Caenorhabditis elegans: one gene and its partners. The protein of the gene in region 3 purifies or fractionates together with the protein of the main gene of each other region. This does not show direct contact. Each region holds a gene or a part of one and is shown on either strand. Other genes may lie near its edges.

Region 1 (6,114 bases), on a different chromosome or scaffold from region 3:
GGAGAAGACAAGTTCCTTGTGTTCACAAAACCATCAGATGTTCATTTGGTGGAGGCTCTGGAAGCTTTGAAGGATGGGCAGGCTGTGCCTATAAAGGTTGCTAGAAATCTAGAGATCTTCAAGCTAAAAGAGGGGCAAAAACCGAAAGCACCAAAGTTGGCAGATGATTTTTACAATTTGTCGACTGCTGAACTCAAAGCCGAACAGAGAAATAAGGAGATGCAGGTGGAGAGAGTGAGTGGAGCTTTAAATTGAAAAATCACACAATAAATTGAATTTTTAGATGCTGACATTGCGTACGAAGGAAATGAGACAAAAAGACGAACAAATGACCAATTATCGCTACAAATATACGTTGATTCGTGTCAGATTGCCTGGAAATTTGTTGATGCAGGTATGTATATTCCAGAAATTCAAGTGATTAATTATTTTATTTTATTTTTCCAGGGAGTATTTGGTTGCCATGAACCATTTTCCGCAGTCCGTGTCTTCGTTGCTTCAACTCTTTCCGATGCTCTTTCGACATCCGAATTCACTCTTCGTGACGCTGCCAGTCAACTCGTGGAGGATGAATCTGCATCGTTGGCTCAACTCAGTCTTGCTCCAGCTGCTCTTCTTCATGTCGTCTTCGCTGAAAACCTGTCTGATTATGGACAAATCGTTGCCGATGAGCATATCGAAATTATCCAGGAGCTTGAAGCTTCCGACTAATTTTTGTATAATTTAAAAATATAATTCCCGGCTATTAGTGTGATATGTTTGTCATTATTTTTTTCCGGTACTGCTGATGTTTTATTTCGCCTAATCGCTTTCGTTGTATTTAACTTATAAGATGCAAAAAGATTCGAGCAGCATATTAAAGATTTTGTACAGAACCGCACTTTAACTGTTTCTCTATTCGTTGTATATCGATTTTTATTTTGAAAATTATTCACTCTATCAAGAAGAAGCCGAAATTCCGCCCACTGCATCTTTTTTCAGTTGTGCTTCTCCAAAAACCATTTTCAGATGTCACAGGATCCCACGATCTCCAATTTTTTAAATGGAAAACCCATCATCGCACCTGTCGGGCCATCTTCTTTATTAACCAGGTTACTTTGAAGCAATTATTTAATTTTTAAGAAAAATTAATTCGAAATTTAAGATTACAATCGTTCCTGCCTCAAATGGAAGAAGCCAATCGAAATATGCCGGAAAACGCGTCAGCTGACGCTTTTCATATTGAAAATGTCGAGGATGACAGCTCGGACGACAGCGATTCGAATTCAGAATCGATTTCGGAAGAGGTACCTGTCACAACTGACGAAAAGAGCACAGCGAGTAGTACACAGAGGATTGAAATTGATTTAGACGTGTTCAAGGAGATGAACAGCGCAGTTGATGACAGAGATGTCGGAATTCAGAATGTCGAAGCTCTTCCAGAAGCATTTCAGTCAAAAGGAGAGGATTCGAAACCGGAAATTACAAAGAAACCGTTGATTGAAGAATTATGAAATTTATGTTTTTTCTATTGTTGTGAATTTTTTGTTGAATTTGTTACTTTTTGACCTACCCCTCGAAACATTTTCTCACATTGCGAAATGAATCAATAAAATTTCGATTTTAGATTTTTATTCATTTATCTCATTGGTTTCTATCCATTTTTGAATTACCTTCCCATTTTTATTTATCTCTGCCTTTTCTAAAATTCTCCGAAAACTTTTCCGAAATGCAGCGTCTTCTCCTTCGTAAAATGTCGTCTGCTGTGGTGACAAGTGCAGCTGAGTATGATGTGAGAGCGTTGGAAAAGCTCAAGGATCTTTATGGCGATCTGGCACAAATTCCGATTCCAACTCAAGGACGAATCGAGAAGAAGTCAGGAGATGAGTTCATCAAAGTCACCACGACTTGGGATAACCGTGCCATGCAGCTGAATAAGTTGACTCGTCAGCAACGTGTCAGCTTGATTGGAAAAAAAGGACCGGAAGTTACGGATCGGTATCTGATGACGTCGGTTTCGGTGCCAATGTGTAATTATGAGTTAGTAAACAATTATTCGGAGATTGAATGGAGTCTGTGGGAATTTTGCCAAAAATAACAGAGAACAGTGACAATATGACGAATAGAACTGCTGAAATAATTATAGAATTTCGCTAAATTTTTTATGTTTTCTTTTCATTTCGCGGAAAACCCAATACTTTCTTTAGAAAACTGCATAATATTTGAGTGTCCGCGTGATGCATACACTTACGCACATAGTGCGTCGGAGAAAACGCTCCTGAATTCACTTTTTTTTTTGAATATTCCATTTTCTTCATTCTTTCAGGTATTTCATGCTTTTTTCGATTATTTATCACAAATATGTAGTTGAAATTGTAAAACTAGTTAAAATTTTCCTTCTTTTAATAAAAATTGAATTTGGGAGCGTTTTCTGTGACGCCTTTTTTGCGTGAGTGTAGACAATGCGCGGGTGCTCTAATATAATTCAATTTCAGCCAAATTGAAAAGATTCCATGATTATTTTAGCGGTTTTATTCGGTTCGTTGATATTTTTTCTCTTGGTATGAGAAAATACCCCCGGCAGACGCTACTCTATCTTTATGAATATGGAATAAATTCTAATTTCAGAAACCAAAGAAGTGTGTATTCCGCATCAAACTCCCGTGTTGCTCAACTTCTGACCATCGGAACTGGAGACGATAAGAAACAATATTTGAAGATCTACAATCTTGAGGAACATGTGGAAGAGCTTTGCGCTGATCTTTCCACTCAGAAAAAGCACGGAACAATTCACGGTGGTGGTTGTATGCCGTTCGGATGCCTTCACTTTTCGTACGGGGAGGGGCATGTTTTGTACGTGGCTGAGAGAAATTCGAAAACTTCGCAATACTTTGATGCTGATATAGAGTGGGATAACGAGACGAAGGTTTTCGAAAGCAAAGTGGTATAGATTAAATAAAAAATATAAGTTTCGATTTCTAGAGAATTATTTGCAGGGCAAGAAATTCGAGCTCACCGAGTCATGGGGAGAGCAGAACGATGGTGTCAAGCAGCCGGTGATTTGCATTGTCGACATCTCCAGTGGAAATGTGACAGCTCTCGATCAAATTCCTGCGAATATTTCCCCATCCTACACGAAATGGGCTCCAGGAGATGCTGGCGTTGTTTTCTTTGGCCTCGAAGAGCAGGACACCCCACGGCTTGGCAGAATCTACTGCAACAATCGCCGTGGAAATCTTTACTACTATGAGCTTGCGACCGCAAAGCTGACGAAGATCAGTGAGGGTGAAATCTCGGCTGAAGAATTGCAATTTTCGCCCGACGGAAATACTTTGGTGTGGTTCCAGAGAGCAGCAGATGGACCACATCAAGCAGTTCTTGAAATGGTAGCTGTTGAGTGGCCATTGAAAGTAGATTCTGCTGAAAACATTGAGAAGCGAATCATTGTTCCGATTGTGAAGGAGAAGAGATCTGCAGACGAATTCCAGGGATTCACATTCCCACAGGTACTCAGGCAACTCAAATCTAATATGAAAATATTAAATAGCAATATTTTTGTAGTAAATACGAGAAATAGTGCGTCCATATAAGATTACTAAAAATTTCGAATAGATTTCGATTTTGTCTCAAAAGATTACTAATTTGTCTCAAAAGACTGTGAACTCATCTCCGAAGATTGAGATTTTGTCTCAAAATATTGAAAATGCAAAAAACTGCTTCATCGAAGATTTTTGGAATTAAAGTTTTTTCCTGTATTTCGATATGTACATGAGGAAGGGACAGAATATAAGGCAATATAATTACCGATTTTTCAAAAATCAATATTTACAGACAGCAACTCGTTCTTGGTCTACTGATTCCAAGCGTCTTATCCTTTCAAGTTCCTGGTGCAGCAAGTTGGAACTGCTTTCCGTTAACATCGCAACTGGGAACATTGAAAAATTAACCAATCACTCCATATGCCTTGGAACTTGGTCTCTTCTTGATGTCTATGATAACGAAGTGCTCGCAGTCGTCTCTGCTCCGAATCGCCCACCAAACGTTCTTCTGGGACAACTTCCAGGGACAGGAAAAGCCGAGGAAATGGTTTGGGTGCGAATCGACGAGGCGAAGGCTGTTGATAAACGTCGTCATCTCTTCGAGTTCTCCTGGGAATTTGTGAATCTTGAGCGTGACGGAGCGACTTACGAAGGAATTCTGATTGTTCCAAATGAGGGAAACAATCTTCCAATGGTTGTGAATCCCCATGGTGGACCTCATGGTGCATCCATGGCAAGGTGAGTTACTTTTTCCCTTTTTTAAACGTTTTTCATTTAAAAGTTCAGCTGGCCACGTCGGGATCTTACTACTCTTCTCAACTCTGGATATGCCGTCCTTCAAGTCAATTTCCGTGGATCACTCGGATTTGGTGACGATTTTATTCGTGCTCTGCCTGGAAACTGCGGAGATATGGATGTTAAGGATGTTCATGTAAGGAGAACATTTTTTTAAAACTTTCTCTGTGTTATGGCAAGACTCAACCGGATGTTATAAAGCTTCAAAGTTCCGAAAATCAACCTCTTCGCCCGAATAACTTGAATTTCGCGCAAAAATTAACCCACTTACCGATTAATTTATTTTTCTGGAATTTAGTCGATTTTTCGTGTTTTTATATTGAAAATTTAAATGTTTTCTGACAAAACTTTTAACAAAAGTCAAAAATAATACGAAAAATCGTTTTTAGATTCAAAAAATGAATAAATCTATCCGCTGAAAATCCATGAAACACATTTACGCGCGAAATTTAAACAACGATAATGATTTTCGGTAGTTTGAAGCCTTTAAACATCCGTTTTAGACATTCTTGTGCTGTTTTGCATATCGTTTTGTCAAAGAATTTAGAACGTTTATTCGACTACACCGCATGTATTATCAATGTAATTAATACTAATTCAGAACGCAGTTCTCACCGTCTTGGATAAGAATCCACGTATTTCTCGAGACAAGGTTGTACTCTTCGGAGGATCTCATGGAGGGTTCCTGGTGTCTCATTTAATTGGACAATATCCAGGATTCTACAAAAGTTGTGTTGCCTTGAATCCAGTCGTCAACATTGCCACAATGCATGATATCACTGATATTCCTGAATGGTGCTATTTCGAGGGAACCGGAGAATATCCAGACTGGACAAAGATCACGACCACCGAACAACGGGAGAAAATGTTCAACTCTTCGCCAATTGCTCATGTGGAGAACGCAACTACTCCGTATCTCTTGCTCATTGGTGAAAAGGATCTTCGTGTCGTTCCTCACTACAGAGCATTTATTCGTGCTCTCAAGGCTCGTGGAGTTCCGGCAAGGTATTCTTGAAAAATTGTTTGCAAGAGAAATTGTTTTTTTTTTCAGGGTTCTCACCTACCCACCATCGAACCATCCACTTGATGAGGTCAACGTTGAGGCCGACTATGCAATCAACATGGTCCGCTGGTTCGAGAAATCACTGTCTCAGTAAATATACTAATGTCTATATGTATTTATCTATTCATCGGCTGCTTCTTTTCCTGCCCCCGGTATTTTTTCATTCATTTTCCCGTGATATTGCCTTGTAAATCTCTTATATATGAACGGTTTGTATATTCTGGAGGATTTCAGTTTTTCAACGGTTTTGGTTTTCCCATTTTTAATTATTTCTAGTGGAATTTCTAAATTGAACATCTGAAATTCCTAGAGATTTCTTACATTTCTTACAGGCAGTCAATATTTAGCAGCTTCATCATATACGTGTACAACTATAATGTCTACAGACGAGGAGGTCCCGTTGGCCACTCGTCAAATGCATGAAGCTTTTGTCACAATCTCACAACAAATGCTTCAGTTCCGGGTGAATACTGCACGTATCACAACTCCTTCCGATTACGAACCACAAGAAGTTTGGGTCATTTACGAGACATTAGAGTGCCCAGATCAACGGCAATACATGAGATCACGTGGATTAGTGTCGAGGAATAAACTTTGGATGTTAATGGAAACGGAAACGGATAAAGATTGGAAATACTTCACCCATATATTTTCGGATGATTGTAAAGTCTGCGTATTCGTAGCAGAATCCATAGAAATGGGTCACGATAAGGATGTTATTCAAGTAGAAGATGTTCA
Region 2 (4,060 bases), on a different chromosome or scaffold from region 3:
GAGAATGAGTAGAAGAAGAGCACAAACAGAGTGAGTGAAGAGGATTAATGGATTATAAAAAAATAAATTAAGAAATTTATGAAACTTTTTGAAAATTAAAAAATTGAAAATTTTTTAAGTGGTATTTAATTAATCTTAATTAAGAATCCGCCCCATATCTAAGTGCACTAATACAAATTCAGAATTTCAAGAAGATGACATTACATAGAAACCCATATCGAAATTTAGAGAATAGGCAAGGAAAATGTTCTGCCGAACAAATTGTGAATAGAAGGGCTCTTCACACGAATAACGAGCCTCTCCGTCTCTCACACTTTAATTTTCGTATCTTCAATATTTTAGACCACACGACACCACTCAAACCACTTTCCAAAAACGCAATTATAAATGGCTCTTCTCTTGCTCACAGTGTCACTTTCAGTCGACGACGACATAATTCAATAACGGCTCTTTTTCTGAACAAATAAATAATTAGGAAACAACTTACCGCGGTGGAAATTCTTATTTACTGAAGATTTCATTTACAAACCTTTACTACGATAACATCACGAGTCTAAATGGAAAATGGAAGCAGGAAAATGTTAGGAATTTTTAAGTTTTAAAAGAAAATGGTTGGAGTACATATTCACAGAATCGATTGTTCTTGCATACGGGAAAATTAATGGAATGTTTGTCAATCTATACGAGAAGAAACCACATAGAAAACAGGAAGAACATCGGAGGGTGTTGGATGAGGGGAAGGAAGGGGGATCTGATTACAAATAATGATAAGAGACTAGTGGTCAAATGAGTTCCTACCGTAATCCGAAAAAATTAAAATTACAGCAGAAATCATTGTGAGGCAATCAGAAAATCAAATGGTTAATTGAAAAGGACTGGCAAGTTATCTTCTTCCGATGCAAGCAAATTTCGCGGTGGATTATTTTCAGAATGTGCTGCGTCCTCTCCTGGTCCTGGTCCTTCCAACTGAAATTTTATTTATCTTTTTTAGTTTTAAGTCGTCTCTTATGGGTACACTGTAGTGACAGCATTTTTCAATTCTTTCATGACGGTTCTATTTGGAAAAATGAAAAACCGTTGTAAAAACTTTTCGACTTTTTTCTGATAATATTATTCAATATCGTGTGAGGTGAGAAACCCAGAAATGAAAAGTCGATACTCACTGCTTTTTGAGCAGCTTCTTGTTCCTTCAGTTTCTTTTTGTTAGCCTGAATCTTCTTCATTCTGAAGAACTCCTCTCTTTCCATTTCGTCCAACTCAGTCACAATGTATGTCAGAGTGTTCTCGATACGTGGGATGATAACGTGCTCGATAGCATTGACACGCCTGTTGGTAACCTTGATGGCTTCATCCAAAGTGATGAAGCATGTTTGAAGAGTGGCGAGCTCGACGAGCAATTCGATGGCCTTGTTGTAGTTCTTCTTCAGGCGAGCAATGTTGGCTCCTCCCTTTCCGAGACCAGTAAGATCGTATGCATCTGGTCCGTCTTGGTAGGCGTCGAATACCGGAAGGAAAACTCCTGAAAACGGTTAAATTTCCGACAAAATCAAATTATTTGAACTCTTACAGCTCGCAATTCAGCAGCACGACTTTTAGTTTTTTCGCACTTTTAAGTTAATTCGTTCTAATTCTATCGTTTTTTGAGAAGTAAACTCGATAACGCCAAAAGAAACTCATAGTTTATTCTTAAAATGTGGAAAAAAGTGAAAATATAATCGCGCGAAAAAATAAAAATTCTCGAATGACTCACCGACAACGTTCTCTTTCTTCATGCGAACACGATATTGAGCTTGAGAAACGTTTTGAATGACAGTGTGAGAGAAATCTCCAGCAGTGAACTTGGCTTCAGCCAAAGAGAATGCAGCCTCTTTCATAACCTCTCCCATGAGGACTTTGTTCTGAAAACATTTGATTTTTAGCGTTTCACCTCAGAATTTTCAAACAAACCTCAACAATCTTTCTCAAAATGTCACGGAAACGAAGATTCAACGCATCGGCCTTCTTCTTCAGCAGAGAATGACCCTTTTGAGCACCCTTCAGACGGGTTTTCATCAGGGTTTGCGCCCTGAATAGTTATTTTTTAGATTTCCATCAAGTTTTTCTTCTATAAAACTCACATTCTAGACGGGAAAACCGCGATTCTGTCTTTTCCTCCCCCGGACATGGTTCGACCTGGAAAAAAAGTTTGTTATTTCTATGAAAAAAACATTAAAATATGGCAAAAATGAGCGAAATCGGTTGTTCGCAAGAAATACACAAAAGACCAATGACTGCCGATTGATCGACGGCATTTTCAATAGAGCGAGTTTGCAAGTCTTGTCATGAGGTGGAAATATAAGAGAGAAGAGAGAAGAAGGCATATCTTTGATGTTTCATTGGGAATTGTTGGAATAAAACTTTATCCCAATAGAAAATATCATTTTCAGTAAAAGGTTAAAGGGGTTGGATAATCAATTTAAAAATTAATCTTCGATTTTTTTAAAATTTCAGCTTCAAAACTTTTTGAAATCTAATTTTAAAATAAATGTACTATTCGCAATTTAAAAGCCGGTCCCTCCACTTCTTTTAGCATTAATGACTTGTTTGTTAATAAATATTACCTAGACACGAAATTTTTCGTAAAAAAATACGGTAGCCGGTCTCGACACGACAATTATTTTTCGTAAATTACAAACTGGTGTGCAAGAGTAATGCATTTTTAAACTTTCGCTGCTGTGGAATTTACATTCGGGTTTTTCAGTTTTTCTCACAATTTGTCAAAATTTGAGTGTTTTAGTTGTTTTATTTCAGTTTGTTGATAAATAAATATATTTTGTTAACGAAAACCATGAAAATTCGATAAAAAATTCCGCATAAAAGAAAGTAAGAAATTACAGTAATCCTTAAAAGCACACATCCGTTTGTATTCAACAAAACATAGTCGTGTCGAGACCGGGTACCGTAATTTTCAATGTCCCGAAATAAGCTGACAGATTGAATTTTAAGAAAAGTAGATTGGAGAATTAACCAAGAAGAAAGCATAGAAGAAAATAAACAAATATTGATAAATCATCGTCAAAATTTATTTCACAAAACTTTAGAAAATTATAATGACACAAGAATTAGGTGAGTGGGGGGGGGGGGGGGGGGAAGGGAGCAAAATAAAAATATAATAAATAATATACATGCTATAGGGCGAAGATTGTAAGATCTATTTACGCAACAATCGTGTGAGCAATCCTTTCTTCGATTTCTCACATGGTGGCTGCCAATCACGTCGACTTCTGGTGTTCTTTTCTTCACATTCCAATCGTTTGACCCGTTCAATAAATTCAACAGGAACAGCAAAAAGAGATTGAACGTTTGCGAGGAGGACAGCGGTAATCAGCATTCCTTGTTGCTTTCGGCATTTACTACAAACACCTGTCCAGAGTCCGATGATTGCCTGAAATCGAAAATTTAAAAATTGATATTACACAGACACGAAATATAGCGACAAAAGTACGGTACCGGTCTCGAGGCGAAAAATTTTTGTCGAATGAAACGAATGAAGATTTCTGCAGAATTTTCAGTGTTGAAATATAGGTGTTAATTTTTTAGTTCTATAGTTTTTTAATAGATAAATATATTTTTATCAAATAATTAATTAAAATCCATAAAAATTCGGCAGAAATGATAGTTTGAAATTACAGTGCTCCTTAAAGACTCATACATTTTCTTATCTTACAAAAATTTGTCGAGTCGAGACAGTAGTTTTCTTGCAAAATGATCCCCTCCTTACCGCTTCACGATTGTTGGAAGATCCATTAGAAGGATCAGCGAGGTCGAAGACTGCATTCGTTTCGATCGATTGAATGAATGTAACAAATTTGTGAAGTTTCCGACGTCTTGAAGTTGGAAGCGAAAGAAGTACCAATTGAATTGCTTCGATCAACCACTGCTCTCGGATTTCGTAGGATTTTTCGTCTGAAAATTATAATTTTTAAGTAAAAAATGTGAAACTCTAATAAATATAAATTTCTTTACCTTGTATTTTCAAATTCACTCTATTATCAAATGGTGATAACGCACGTCGTCGATA
Region 3 (3,069 bases):
GGCAATTCGGTGATCAAAATGCTCTTCATGCTGCCGTTACTCAAGGAGCTCATGCAATGACTCAATTAGAAAATTATGCAGTCGCTATTGGAGATAAATTGAGAACAGTAAGATTTTTATTTAAAAAGATTTATTTTTACAATTAGAAAATGCTCAAAACGTAACTTTTTCGAATTTTATGAATTCGTTCATTTTTCCAACTCTATTTTGCTGGGAGCTTACTAAAAAAGTTGTTCACCCGACATTTGACATACTTATAAACTTTTTTGTAGATTGATGACTATCAAACTCATCATCGTCTCCGTGAAGCAACTGGTCGCAAACGTGCAGAAGAACTCAACGAGCGCGTGATGATCTGGTCCCTTGGTCAATCTGCCGTCGTAGTATTCATTGGAATTGGCCAAGTTTTCCTGCTCAAATCATTTTTCAATGATAAAAGAACTCGTTATTAATTTTTTCACACCATTGCTCTTTTTTTTGTAATTAGCAGCCTTCTCATTTTAATGGGTCCCGTCAGTTGTTTTGCCCCTTTTCCTCCCTTTGATACATAGCATAAGAATATAATTTATTGATTTATAACTGAGTTTCATAACATAAAAACCCGAAGCAATTTTATGCAATTGAGAATTATTCAGGAATGTCTCCGTTGAGAACTGACTGATATTCCTGGAGTCTCCGAAGAAGTGCGTCATTTTGATTAAGAAGAGTTTGGATTCCGTTTACGAGCGTCTTGCGTTTTTCACGGTTTCGCTTAGCCTGAAAGTTGATTGAACTGAATCGAAAACTTATTCAAAGTACAAAATAAAATTATGACACACCTGATTTTCGGGAGTAGTTTCAGTGATAATATTCATCCCATCAAGAGTTTCCAGATGTCTTTCCGCCTCTTCGTTGAAATATTTCACTTTCTTTTCCAGCTTTTTCCCCATCTCGACCTGCTTTGGTTTTTCGAGAAAACCACGTTCCAAATCAGCGACATCTCTCAAATTGAGATCATAGGCTTTTTGAAGATTGCTCAAATTATGCTTCTCATATTGCATGAGCATTTTGAAGCCCGCGTCATCAACCAAAGCATTTTTTCCACCCATCACAATGATTTTATCATTTTCTTTAAAATTTAAAGTAGAAAGGGAGACATCGTCGGCGCCTTGAAGAAACTTTCCTGTAAAATACTTTGTCTCATTATTCCAAAAAATCAGAAACAACCTCTGTGCAACAACTTCATGGTTTCAACATCAACATCATTGTCGGTGGCGATTCGATCGCGTAGCTGCCCAAGTGTCAAAATAGATTCGTCTTCTCCTTGATTTTCCTCAAGAATGTCGATTGTAGTTTGAACGGATGAACACGACACATTCACCTTCATTTCTGAAAATTGATTTTGAGACAGTTTTAGCAGTGGGAGAAGCCTCCGAGTGTCGATAAATAAGAAATTGGAACAAAATTATTGTTAACTTATTAGAAAATTAAGAAACTTCTAGAAATGACGAGAAGCTTATGCGAAAATCAGTTCCTCCACGAGGTGTACACATCGATTGCAATGGGGCGCACTCGCTCAGAGACTTCAGAGAAAAACGATTCCATAGACAATGAATCACCGTTTTCGTACGATACTGTGAGGGACATTAAATTAGCCCATTTTTGTTTTTAAGTCACAATACGAGAGCACATGATAGTTTTTATATTGGACATGTAAGAAACACAATGTATGAGCAATAAAATAAACAGTGAGTTGGGTGATAACCATCGGTTGAATAATAAGTATGCAATTATTTACAAGAAAATTACTTATGGCTGGAAACTTTTTTCAATCGCTCGAGAATGGCATCGAGTTTGTAAATTGTCTCCTGGTCAATCTGTTTGTAGATTTTGTCCCGATTTTTAACTATTTTGCGAAAATTGTGAATGCACTCTGTTGCTTTTGCAGCTCGCTCTTCAGCTACCACATCGACTCCAATTCGCCGAGTTTTGGTGGATGCAAATCCGATGATTGTGTCCAGTAAACTGTTGGTAATTGATGCAAGAGCCTTCAAGCAAGCCGATCGCTTCCCATAATTGTCGCTCGTGATATTTTCTGAATTACAAAACATTAGAATAAATTTATCAGGAAGCAAAACCAACCCATGATAAATGTTAAACAAGCATGGCACGAGTTGAGACACCAAGAGTTTCTACTATTCAGAATTCTAATGACTGTGGGAGCGAGTTGGTTGTCGTTTGACAATATCTGTTCCATGTTACTTGTGAAACTCTTCATCTTATAAACACGAAGATCTGAAAAGAAAACATAAACTGAAAAATCAAAACTCTGCAAATCCTACTTCTGCTCTCTCGCTTCGCACAAACACCGATTTTATTCACTTCCTCGGTGCATGCGGACCACAACGACGCGTTTGATGACATGACTGACACGGATGATTCTGGGGAGGATTTTGGCAAAGAACTGCTATGTTCTTCACCTCTCGAAACCGGGTTCCGAGACAATTCCTTCTTCGACTCGGAATGCAATGGACGTCTTGAGCGAGTATTTGTGAACTCGGGCAGATCGGCTTTCACAGTTCGAGAACTCCCGATGAAAGTGATGGGAACGTCCTTTTCCGCACCGCGTCTGAAAAAAATATAATCGCTTCAGATACTTTTTTCGTAGAACTCACCGACTCGAAGTAGATCTTGTATTTGGTCTGTTTTCAGCGGATTTCGGAATGTCGTTGAGAGGCTTCCTATTTTTTGCATGTGTTAGTTTTTTCCGGTCGTCAAGCCCTGACATCTGAAAAATTTCAAAATTTCAAATTTAAGAAGAGACAAACATTTTATAATTGGAAAAAAACACAAGATATCAAAATTAGACGAAAGAAAGGAACTAGTAAACAAGAAAAAACCGTTTTCCCGCATAAAAGAAATTCCCGCGTAATTCTTTGAAGTACTATCGTACCCCGCATGAGCGCTGCGGGACCCGAATAACATCTCATATGCGCCTTTAAAGTTTTTAATATAAAGCTGGATTTTTTAATCCTAAGTATTTACTTTTGCCTCATTCCAATGAATTCTTGAAACGATATATTTAATATT
Region 4 (7,421 bases), on a different chromosome or scaffold from region 3:
CAAAAAAGAACAGTCCTCATTTGGATTTAGATTTCTGTAATTGTAAGTCGTAAATCCGCAACATCTAGATAATCGTCAAATGGGGCTCAGACAGCTCAAACCCTGGCTTTTTGAATGATTGGCAACCAACGTTGGTGAAATTTTCTCATTTTTAAATCGCTCACCACTTCTTTATTCTAAAGAGTTCTCTGGTCACTCACCTATAAATCCAAAAAAAAGTGCTTCGATACACAAAATTTTATTCTCTTTTCAAAGAAAAAGGGACCTTTTCCTCTATGCTATCGATCACCTGCGAATAGAACCTAACGGAAAACAAAAACAAAAAGAGCAACTGAGCCCCGGAGCCTCACCAAAACCAATTATCAACGGCGCGGAACATCTTTTCCCCTCTATTTCTGCCATCACATTCCGTTTCGAGAAAAAAAAGAGCAACTTTTTCCTGCTCTGAGCCATAGGGTGCTCCTTTATTTCCGGTTGGTCCCTCTAGCTCTCCATTTCTCAAAACGAGCTGCTTGTTGCTCCCTTTTTGAGCTCATTCTGTGCTCGTTTCTCGAGGAGAATTGCCCGGTGCAATGAATGTATTCAATTGTTGTCTTGTTGGTGAGTCAAATTTGTATGAAAAAAAATTCAAGAAATGTATTGTATTGTTGTCTACGTGTGATCCAGAGTATCTTCAGAAGGTGTGGTTTTTTTTCTGAACTCTAAATTAAAAAAAAAACACATTTTCGGCCTGCTCCTGACACTGAGTTGACATGTCCTTCGCTTAGACTCATGGGAATGTAGAATTGGTTTCAAAAGCAAAACACGCAAACTCTGGTCCCCCGCAGCTTTTACATCGATTTCCAAATGTTTTTTGTTCGTTTTCTCGGTTTCAAAAGACAATTTTATCCGTATCAAAAGGTCATACAGGGAAATTTCGGAACAAAATTGAAAGAAAAATCCTTGAATAATTGAAAATCATGTTCAAAAATTACGATTTGCTTAGTTTTATCTGATTTTCTGAGCATATTCTATATTTCGAAACCCATTGAATGTGGCAATTGTTTTTTTGGTGTGTTGTGCCTCACTCCAATACCAATTTCCGTGACGATTAAATTGAAAACAAGACCGAAAAACCAAAAGAGAAACAAAAAAATAAAATCTAGTTTTTTTTTCTCCCCCTGTCACATTGAATTTATATTTTTATCCGTTTCCAATTAGGTTCATCCGTTTTGTTTGCCATCGATAGCTAATTGATGACAATCAAATAAATTAATAGATAAAGTTTCTATTTCCATTAACTCAAATTTCCTTTATTCTGTCAACTAAATTTATGTTGTTTCGTGCTCAGAAAATATGAGAAAAAAAACAGAAAAATGCATGCACAAAAAAGTTGACGCTAATCTTTGTCTCCCCAACTCCGAAGGCTCAAAGAGCACGCAAAGGGCTTATCGATTTTAAGAATTACACATTCCTTAAAAAAAGCTCTAACTCTAAAAATTATTTTATGTTTCCATTCTCAATTGCTGTATCCCCAAGAAGAGGTAAAAATTTGTTTTTTTTTTCTCTATGTTGTGAGCCTGATTGCTCTGCTTCTTCTGACTTTTTCGTTGAACAAAAATCAAATTTTATTTCAAATTCATAGATATTCTGTTTTGCAGACCCCGAAAATCGTGCGGCAGGCTCAAACGAGGAGGAAAACTATCAAAAAAAGACAACAACCGACGGTTTCACAGCAAAAGCCGACGGAATCAAAATGGCTGACGATGAGGAAGAAATTATTCAAAAAGTCGAAGTGAAGCCGGATGAATTCAATGGATTAATTGGATCAATTGCTGGTAACCTGATTAGAGATAAGGTTAGTTTAATTTTTGGTTAGAATATTTTTTTTTTAAATTTGCTACATAGACATGTTGAAATTTAATTGCAACCTAAAACTAATTATCTCACAGGTCGGTGGCGCCGGTGGTGATATCCTTGGAGGCCTTGCCAGTAACTTCTTCGGAGGTGGAGGCGGCGGAGGAGGCGGCGGCGGAGGCGGAGGTTTCGGTGGTGGAAATGGAGGATTCGGTGGAGGTATTTTTATTTTCAAAATTGTCAGACAAAAATTCCCTAAAAATTCAAGTTCCTTTTTTTGTGTTAGAAAACATTTAGATTCACTCAAAACATCACCGTGTGGCTTAGATCAGTGAATTTTTTCTCACACCTTATATGTTGTCCATGTTATCGTAATCCCATTTGCTGCTACAGTAATCCATAGGTTCGAACTACGATCAAGGCGGGAATGGGAACAGCGGAGATCAACAAAAAAGGAAACGAGACATGGCGAAAGACTTGATTGGAGGAATATTCGATAATGTGGTGAATAGGAAAGGAAAGAAGGAGCAGGATAACTATGGTAGCGTTTGTGTTTTTTTTATTTGCTGTTTTGTGCTTTCTATAGATTTGATTATATAATTAGCTTAATCATTTTCTCAAATTTTCTGAACATGGTCTGTAATTTATTATCCTCGGTTTTTTTTCTAGTTTTTCATTCTTGGACGTCTGGGAATGTGAAGCTTCTTTGTCTTTTGTTCCGTAATTGTTCACCAATCTTCAAGCTTTTTTCTTGAAAATAGCGCAATTCCACGCTCATAGCACAAATTCATCAACTTATGTTAAAAATCAGGTGGAGGTCGACAACAGCCGCCACCAAATAACAATTTTGGTGGTGGAGGTGGATCTGGCGGTGGCGGAGGGTTCGGAGACATTCTTGGGGGACTTTTGAGCGGCGGAGGTGGCGGCGGTGGACAAAGAGGCGGCGGAGGGCAAAATTACGGTCTGAGAGTTTGAAAATACAATAAGTTAAGCTTCTACGCACTCACCAACACTCACTTAAATACTAACAACACCACTCATTTCCAAAATTTGATTTGAAAAATATGGCTATTTTGAAAGAAGCTTTAGACTTTTAAATTCTCCTGTTAATTCGCTTTTGACTGATGATTCGTGATTTTCCTTTAAAAATGCAATATTTTGCATGTTTGCTGTGATATTTCGTGTGAAATTTAGGCGGAGGCGGCAGTGGCGGTGGCGGTGGTGGAAACAACATCGGAAGCTTGGTCGGATCACTTATTGGTGGTGGTGGTATGCATTAGGATTGTAGTGTGCATGTAGTATCATAAATGTTGTGTTAATATTTTAATAGTTAATAGAGCTGATGATCAGAACATTTATAGATCTTATTGACACTTATTTATCACATCTAATTGTATTTCATTTCTGAACTATCTACACAAATGTGGCACCCATGAAATTCAAGCTAGAGTAATATTTTAGGCGGAGGTGGTAACTACGGCGGTGGTGGTGGAAATCAAGGAGGCGGCGGAGGCGGTGGCTTTAACTTCAATGATATCGGTGGACTCATCAACAGTATGGGAGGTGGTGGTGGTGGTGGCCAGAGACAAGGTATAGAACATTTATTAATATACTTTGAATAATTTGAAAAATTTTAGGCGGTGGTGGAGGAGGCTTCGGAGATATCCTCGGAGGAATCGGATCTCTCATTGGCGGAGGAGGCGGTGGCCAGTACAATGGTGGAGGTGGAAATGTGAACCCGAATAATCTCAACGGTGGAATGGTGAATGTTATCGGAAATCTCATTGGAGAAGCTGCTCACAGATTCCTCGGCGTTGATCCGGGTACAGGCAGAATCATTGGAGCTGTCGCTGGAAATGTGATTATGGGACTTGGTGGAAAAGATAATTCTCTTGGAAATATCGGAAAAGTTATTCTGGACAATATTATTTCTGGAAAGTTCCGTAGGGATGTTGATCCATTCGTTCGTCCAGGACCAGATCCAGATAGAGGAGGTGGTGGAAGTGGTCCAAGCCCTATTTCACCAAGACCAACTACCGAACCACAAGACTTCTATGAGCTCAGAGATCAATGTCTTGAGGTGAGTGTTCAAAACATATCATTTTTAAAATAATAAATTCAGAGCAAACGACTATTCGAGGATCCACAATTCTTGGCCAATGATAGTTCGTTATTCTTCTCGAAACGTCCACCAAAACGTGTAGAATGGCTTCGTCCTGGAGAAATCACAAGAGAGCCACAACTGATTACAGAGGGTCACTCGAGATTTGATGTTATTCAGGTTAGCTCTTGGATTATTTTCAGAATTTTTAATATTTGAAATGTACTATTAAAATTATATATTCTTTCAGGGAGAACTCGGAGATTGTTGGCTCTTGGCTGCTGCAGCCAATTTAACTCTCAAGGATGAGCTCTTCTATCGTGTGGTTCCACCAGATCAATCTTTCACTGAAAACTACGCTGGAATCTTCCATTTCCAATTCTGGCAGTACGGAAAATGGGTGGATGTTGTTATTGACGACAGATTACCAACGAGTAACGGCGAGCTTCTCTATATGCATTCTGCTAGTAATAATGAGTTCTGGAGTGCACTTTTAGAGAAGGCATATGCAAAGTAAGTTCGGACTTTTGACCGACATTTATGAAGGAATAAACTAGTTAATTAATTTTCAAGATTGTTCGGATCATACGAGGCTCTCAAGGGAGGTACCACATCTGAAGCACTTGAGGACATGACTGGAGGACTCACCGAGTTTATCGACCTCAAAAACCCACCAAGAAACTTGATGCAAATGATGATGAGAGGGTAGGGATTAAAGTCTAATTTACATTATTATCCAAAAACGAGTTGTGCCAAACTACAGTACCCGGTCTCGACGCGACAATTTTTGTTAATTATGAATGTCTGTGCGCCTTTAATGAGTACTGTAGTTTCAAACTTTCGTTGATGCCGAATTTTCATTGATTTTGCATAGTTTTTTGTTAGAAACAGAAATAAAACAATTAAGAACACACAAACTATGAAAAATCGATAAAAAATTCCACAAAAATAAAATCTTGAAAGTAAAGTACTCTTTAAAAGTGATCCCCTATTTATATTCGACAAAAAGTTGTCGTGTCGAGACCGATTACCGTATTTTTTGCGCAAATTTTAGCGTCCATGTATTAACAAAATTTCAGATTCGAGATGGGATCCCTATTCGGTTGCTCCATCGAAGCCGATCCAAATGTTTGGGAAGCAAAAATGTCGAATGGTTTAGTGAAAGGACACGCCTATTCAATTACCGGATGCCGAATTGTTGACGGACCAAATGGACAAACTTGCATTCTTCGAATCCGTAATCCATGGGGAAATGAACAGGAATGGAATGGACCATGGTCAGACAATTCACGCGAATGGCGAAGTGTTCCAGATTCTGTAAAACAAGATATGGGACTGAAATTCGATCATGATGGAGAGTTTTGGATGTCATTTGATGATTTTATGAGGAATTTCGAGAAAATGGAAATTTGCAATCTTGGACCAGATGTTATGGATGAAGTCTATCAAATGACTGGTGTCAAGGCCGCTGGAATGGTTTGGGCTGCAAATACTCATGATGGTGCATGGGTTAGAAATCAAACAGCTGGAGGATGCAGGAATTACATCAGTAAGTAAATATTCATCTACAAATATTTTCAATTTTCAATTCAGACACTTTCGCCAACAATCCACAATTCCGAGTTCAACTTACCGATTCGGATCCTGATGATGATGATGAACTCTGCACTGTAATATTCGCCGTTTTGCAAAAATACAGGTAGCGCCACCAGATAGGGAAATCATTTTTATTTTTCCAATTTTTAAGACGTAATCTGAAACAAGATGGACTTGACAACGTGCCAATTGGATTTGCTGTCTATGACGTGAGACTATTGTTATTTTGAAGAAAAAACAGGATTTGGCCTGAAATTTACGACAATTCTAGAAAACCTCAACTTTAAATAGAATAGTTGGAACATTTGAAAACTTAACTTTCCCCTAAAACTACTAAAAAATTTTTAAACCTTTTAAATACGCTAAAAATTTACAGATGAACAATGTAAGTTGGCTAATTGAAAATCTTGTGAAACCGGTAAAATTGTCCAAATCACGTCGTTTCTAGTTCAAAATAACCCACATTCAGTGAACCTCACCCACTTTGTTTAGTGTGTATTGTTTTATTGTTGAAGTACACGTGCTGATTTTTTGACATTATCTAACCAATATTTATGTTTTGTTGTTTACTATTGGATGTGTGAAACGTATCAAATAACAGAAAAATGCAGTCATTTGAAAGAAAATTGTATTTTCTGTCTCTGTGTTCGTCCGAACCAAAGATTTTTTCAAGCTTTATAAAATTACATACTATTCAGGCCGGAAATAACCGTGGTCGACTGAGTAAACAGTTCTTCGCTGCCAACAAATCCGCGATGAGATCGGCCGCTTTCATCAATTTAAGAGAGGTAATTTTCTATCTTCAAAATTAAATTTTAAAAACCAAATTTTCAGATGACTGGCCGCTTCCGTGTACCCCCGGGCAACTATGTTGTCGTTCCATCAACATTTGAACCAAACGAGGAAGCCGAGTTCATGCTCCGTGTCTACACGAATGGATTTATCGAGTCGGAGTGAGTAGTGAATATCAAGATTTTGTACTTTGTTTTGATTTAACAGAATATATAAGCTGAGCTTCTGCAGGTACTAATAATTCATTGATTCAATATTTTCCAGGGAACTGTAAGCCATTCTACTCACAACTACAACAACAAATAGCAAGATTGGATCTTCCTATACCTATTGTTTTGATCCACTTCGTTATGTATAAATCTCTCTGTCACTCGTTCTATTTTCATCATTAACCCCCCTACCCTCTCTCTCTTTCCTCAATCGTCCCTCTTTTCTCCACTCTTTCTGCCTAATTTCCCGTCGATGTTTGCCGGATCTGCTCTGTAGAATTGTAATATTTTGATATGCTTGTTGTTTCACTGTATTCTTTTTTTTTGCCTTTTCCAGAGTAAATAAATTTTCTAGTTCTGATGAAAGATATCCAAAATTTCCGTCTTTTCAAAAATCAAGCCTGTCAAAAGATTAAGCATACGAAGTATTTTTAAATGAACAAAATTATCTTATATTCTTCAACACTTAAAAAATATTCACAGATTTCATTAGTATTGACTCTGTCGCTACGAATAATACCACATACACTAAACCATTTCTGATCTAGCTTTAAAAATTTCTCTTTTTTTAAAAATCAATTAGGAAAGATAAAAATATATTTACCTCGAGTAGTGGGAGAAACTGTAAAAAATCACGTTTTACGGTGAAGTAATAATACTTTTTTTTAGCAGCTTCGAACAAAAGTCTTTTTTCCAGCCCAATTTTGCATAAAATTTGTTTTTATTAAAATGAGAAAAAATTCATTTCTTTAATCGATTTCCAAAGCTTCGACATTACCGTAATCTTTAAAGGCGCACATTCTATTCTGCAGTAATCGTATCCTTCGTGTCGAGACCGGTCGGTACCGTATACTTTGGACTCACTAACTTTTTTTAATTTTTGGGTT

The links.
Region 1: the proteins of bag-1 (region 3) and dpf-5 fractionate together in Caenorhabditis elegans (co-fractionation; one large-scale study listed by BioGRID). This does not show direct contact.
Region 2: the proteins of bag-1 (region 3) and vha-14 fractionate together in Caenorhabditis elegans (co-fractionation; one large-scale study listed by BioGRID). This does not show direct contact.
Region 4: the proteins of bag-1 (region 3) and clp-1 fractionate together in Caenorhabditis elegans (co-fractionation; one large-scale study listed by BioGRID). This does not show direct contact.

Annotation. Positions count from the first base shown.
Region 1 is NC_003282.8:4,802,187-4,808,300, reverse strand, and holds dpf-5 (acylaminoacyl-peptidase), read left to right. Parts: upstream 1-1,714; 5' UTR 1,715-1,732; coding exon 1,733-2,019; intron 2,020-2,607; coding exon 2,608-2,923; intron 2,924-2,975; coding exon 2,976-3,485; intron 3,486-3,810; coding exon 3,811-4,256; intron 4,257-4,304; coding exon 4,305-4,449; intron 4,450-4,914; coding exon 4,915-5,318; intron 5,319-5,364; coding exon 5,365-5,470; 3' UTR 5,471-5,599; downstream 5,600-6,114. Other genes in the region: ubxn-6 (UBX domain-containing protein 6), read left to right, coding at 1-234, 284-394, 448-711; H06H21.11 (uncharacterized protein), read left to right, coding at 1,009-1,091, 1,145-1,493; dpf-7 (Dipeptidyl Peptidase Four (IV) family), read left to right, coding at 5,753-6,114.
Region 2 is NC_003281.10:9,506,212-9,510,271, reverse strand, and holds vha-14 (V-type proton ATPase subunit D), read right to left. Parts: upstream 2,173-4,060; 5' UTR 2,165-2,172; coding exon 2,118-2,164; intron 2,066-2,117; coding exon 1,948-2,065; intron 1,899-1,947; coding exon 1,751-1,898; intron 1,520-1,750; coding exon 1,164-1,519; intron 967-1,163; coding exon 862-966; 3' UTR 515-861; downstream 1-514. UniProt on the Caenorhabditis elegans protein: Subunit of the V1 complex of vacuolar(H+)-ATPase (V-ATPase), a multisubunit enzyme composed of a peripheral complex (V1) that hydrolyzes ATP and a membrane integral complex (V0) that translocates protons.
Region 3 is NC_003279.8:6,563,084-6,566,152, forward strand, and holds bag-1 (BAG family molecular chaperone regulator 1), read right to left. Parts: upstream 1,369-3,069; 5' UTR 1,367-1,368; coding exon 1,207-1,366; intron 1,163-1,206; coding exon 819-1,162; intron 757-818; coding exon 628-756; 3' UTR 546-627; downstream 1-545. Other genes in the region: tmed-3 (GOLD domain-containing protein), read left to right, coding at 1-107, 273-452; mei-2 (Meiotic spindle formation protein 2), read right to left, coding at 1,785-2,074, 2,122-2,274, 2,322-2,608, 2,655-2,767. UniProt on the Caenorhabditis elegans protein: May inhibit the chaperone activity of HSP70/HSC70 by promoting substrate release in an ATP-dependent manner.
Region 4 is NC_003281.10:7,979,434-7,986,854, forward strand, and holds clp-1 (Calpain clp-1), read left to right. Parts: upstream 1-1,640; 5' UTR 1,641-1,735; coding exon 1,736-1,837; intron 1,838-1,931; coding exon 1,932-2,055; coding exon of another isoform or gene 2,056-2,171; exon of another isoform or gene 2,172-2,239; coding exon 2,240-2,377; intron 2,378-3,030; coding exon of another isoform or gene 3,031-3,105; intron 3,106-3,297; coding exon 3,298-3,426; intron 3,427-3,473; coding exon 3,474-3,916; intron 3,917-3,958; coding exon 3,959-4,117; intron 4,118-4,187; coding exon 4,188-4,450; intron 4,451-4,510; coding exon 4,511-4,642; intron 4,643-5,016; coding exon 5,017-5,486; intron 5,487-5,530; coding exon 5,531-5,636; intron 5,637-5,684; coding exon 5,685-5,742; intron 5,743-5,909; coding exon of another isoform or gene 5,910-5,918; intron 5,919-6,231; coding exon 6,232-6,321; intron 6,322-6,367; coding exon 6,368-6,486; intron 6,487-6,589; coding exon 6,590-6,599; 3' UTR 6,600-6,895; downstream 6,896-7,421. UniProt on the Caenorhabditis elegans protein: Calcium-regulated non-lysosomal thiol-protease which catalyzes limited proteolysis of substrates. Required for assembly and maintenance of integrin attachment complexes which are essential for maintenance of adult muscle.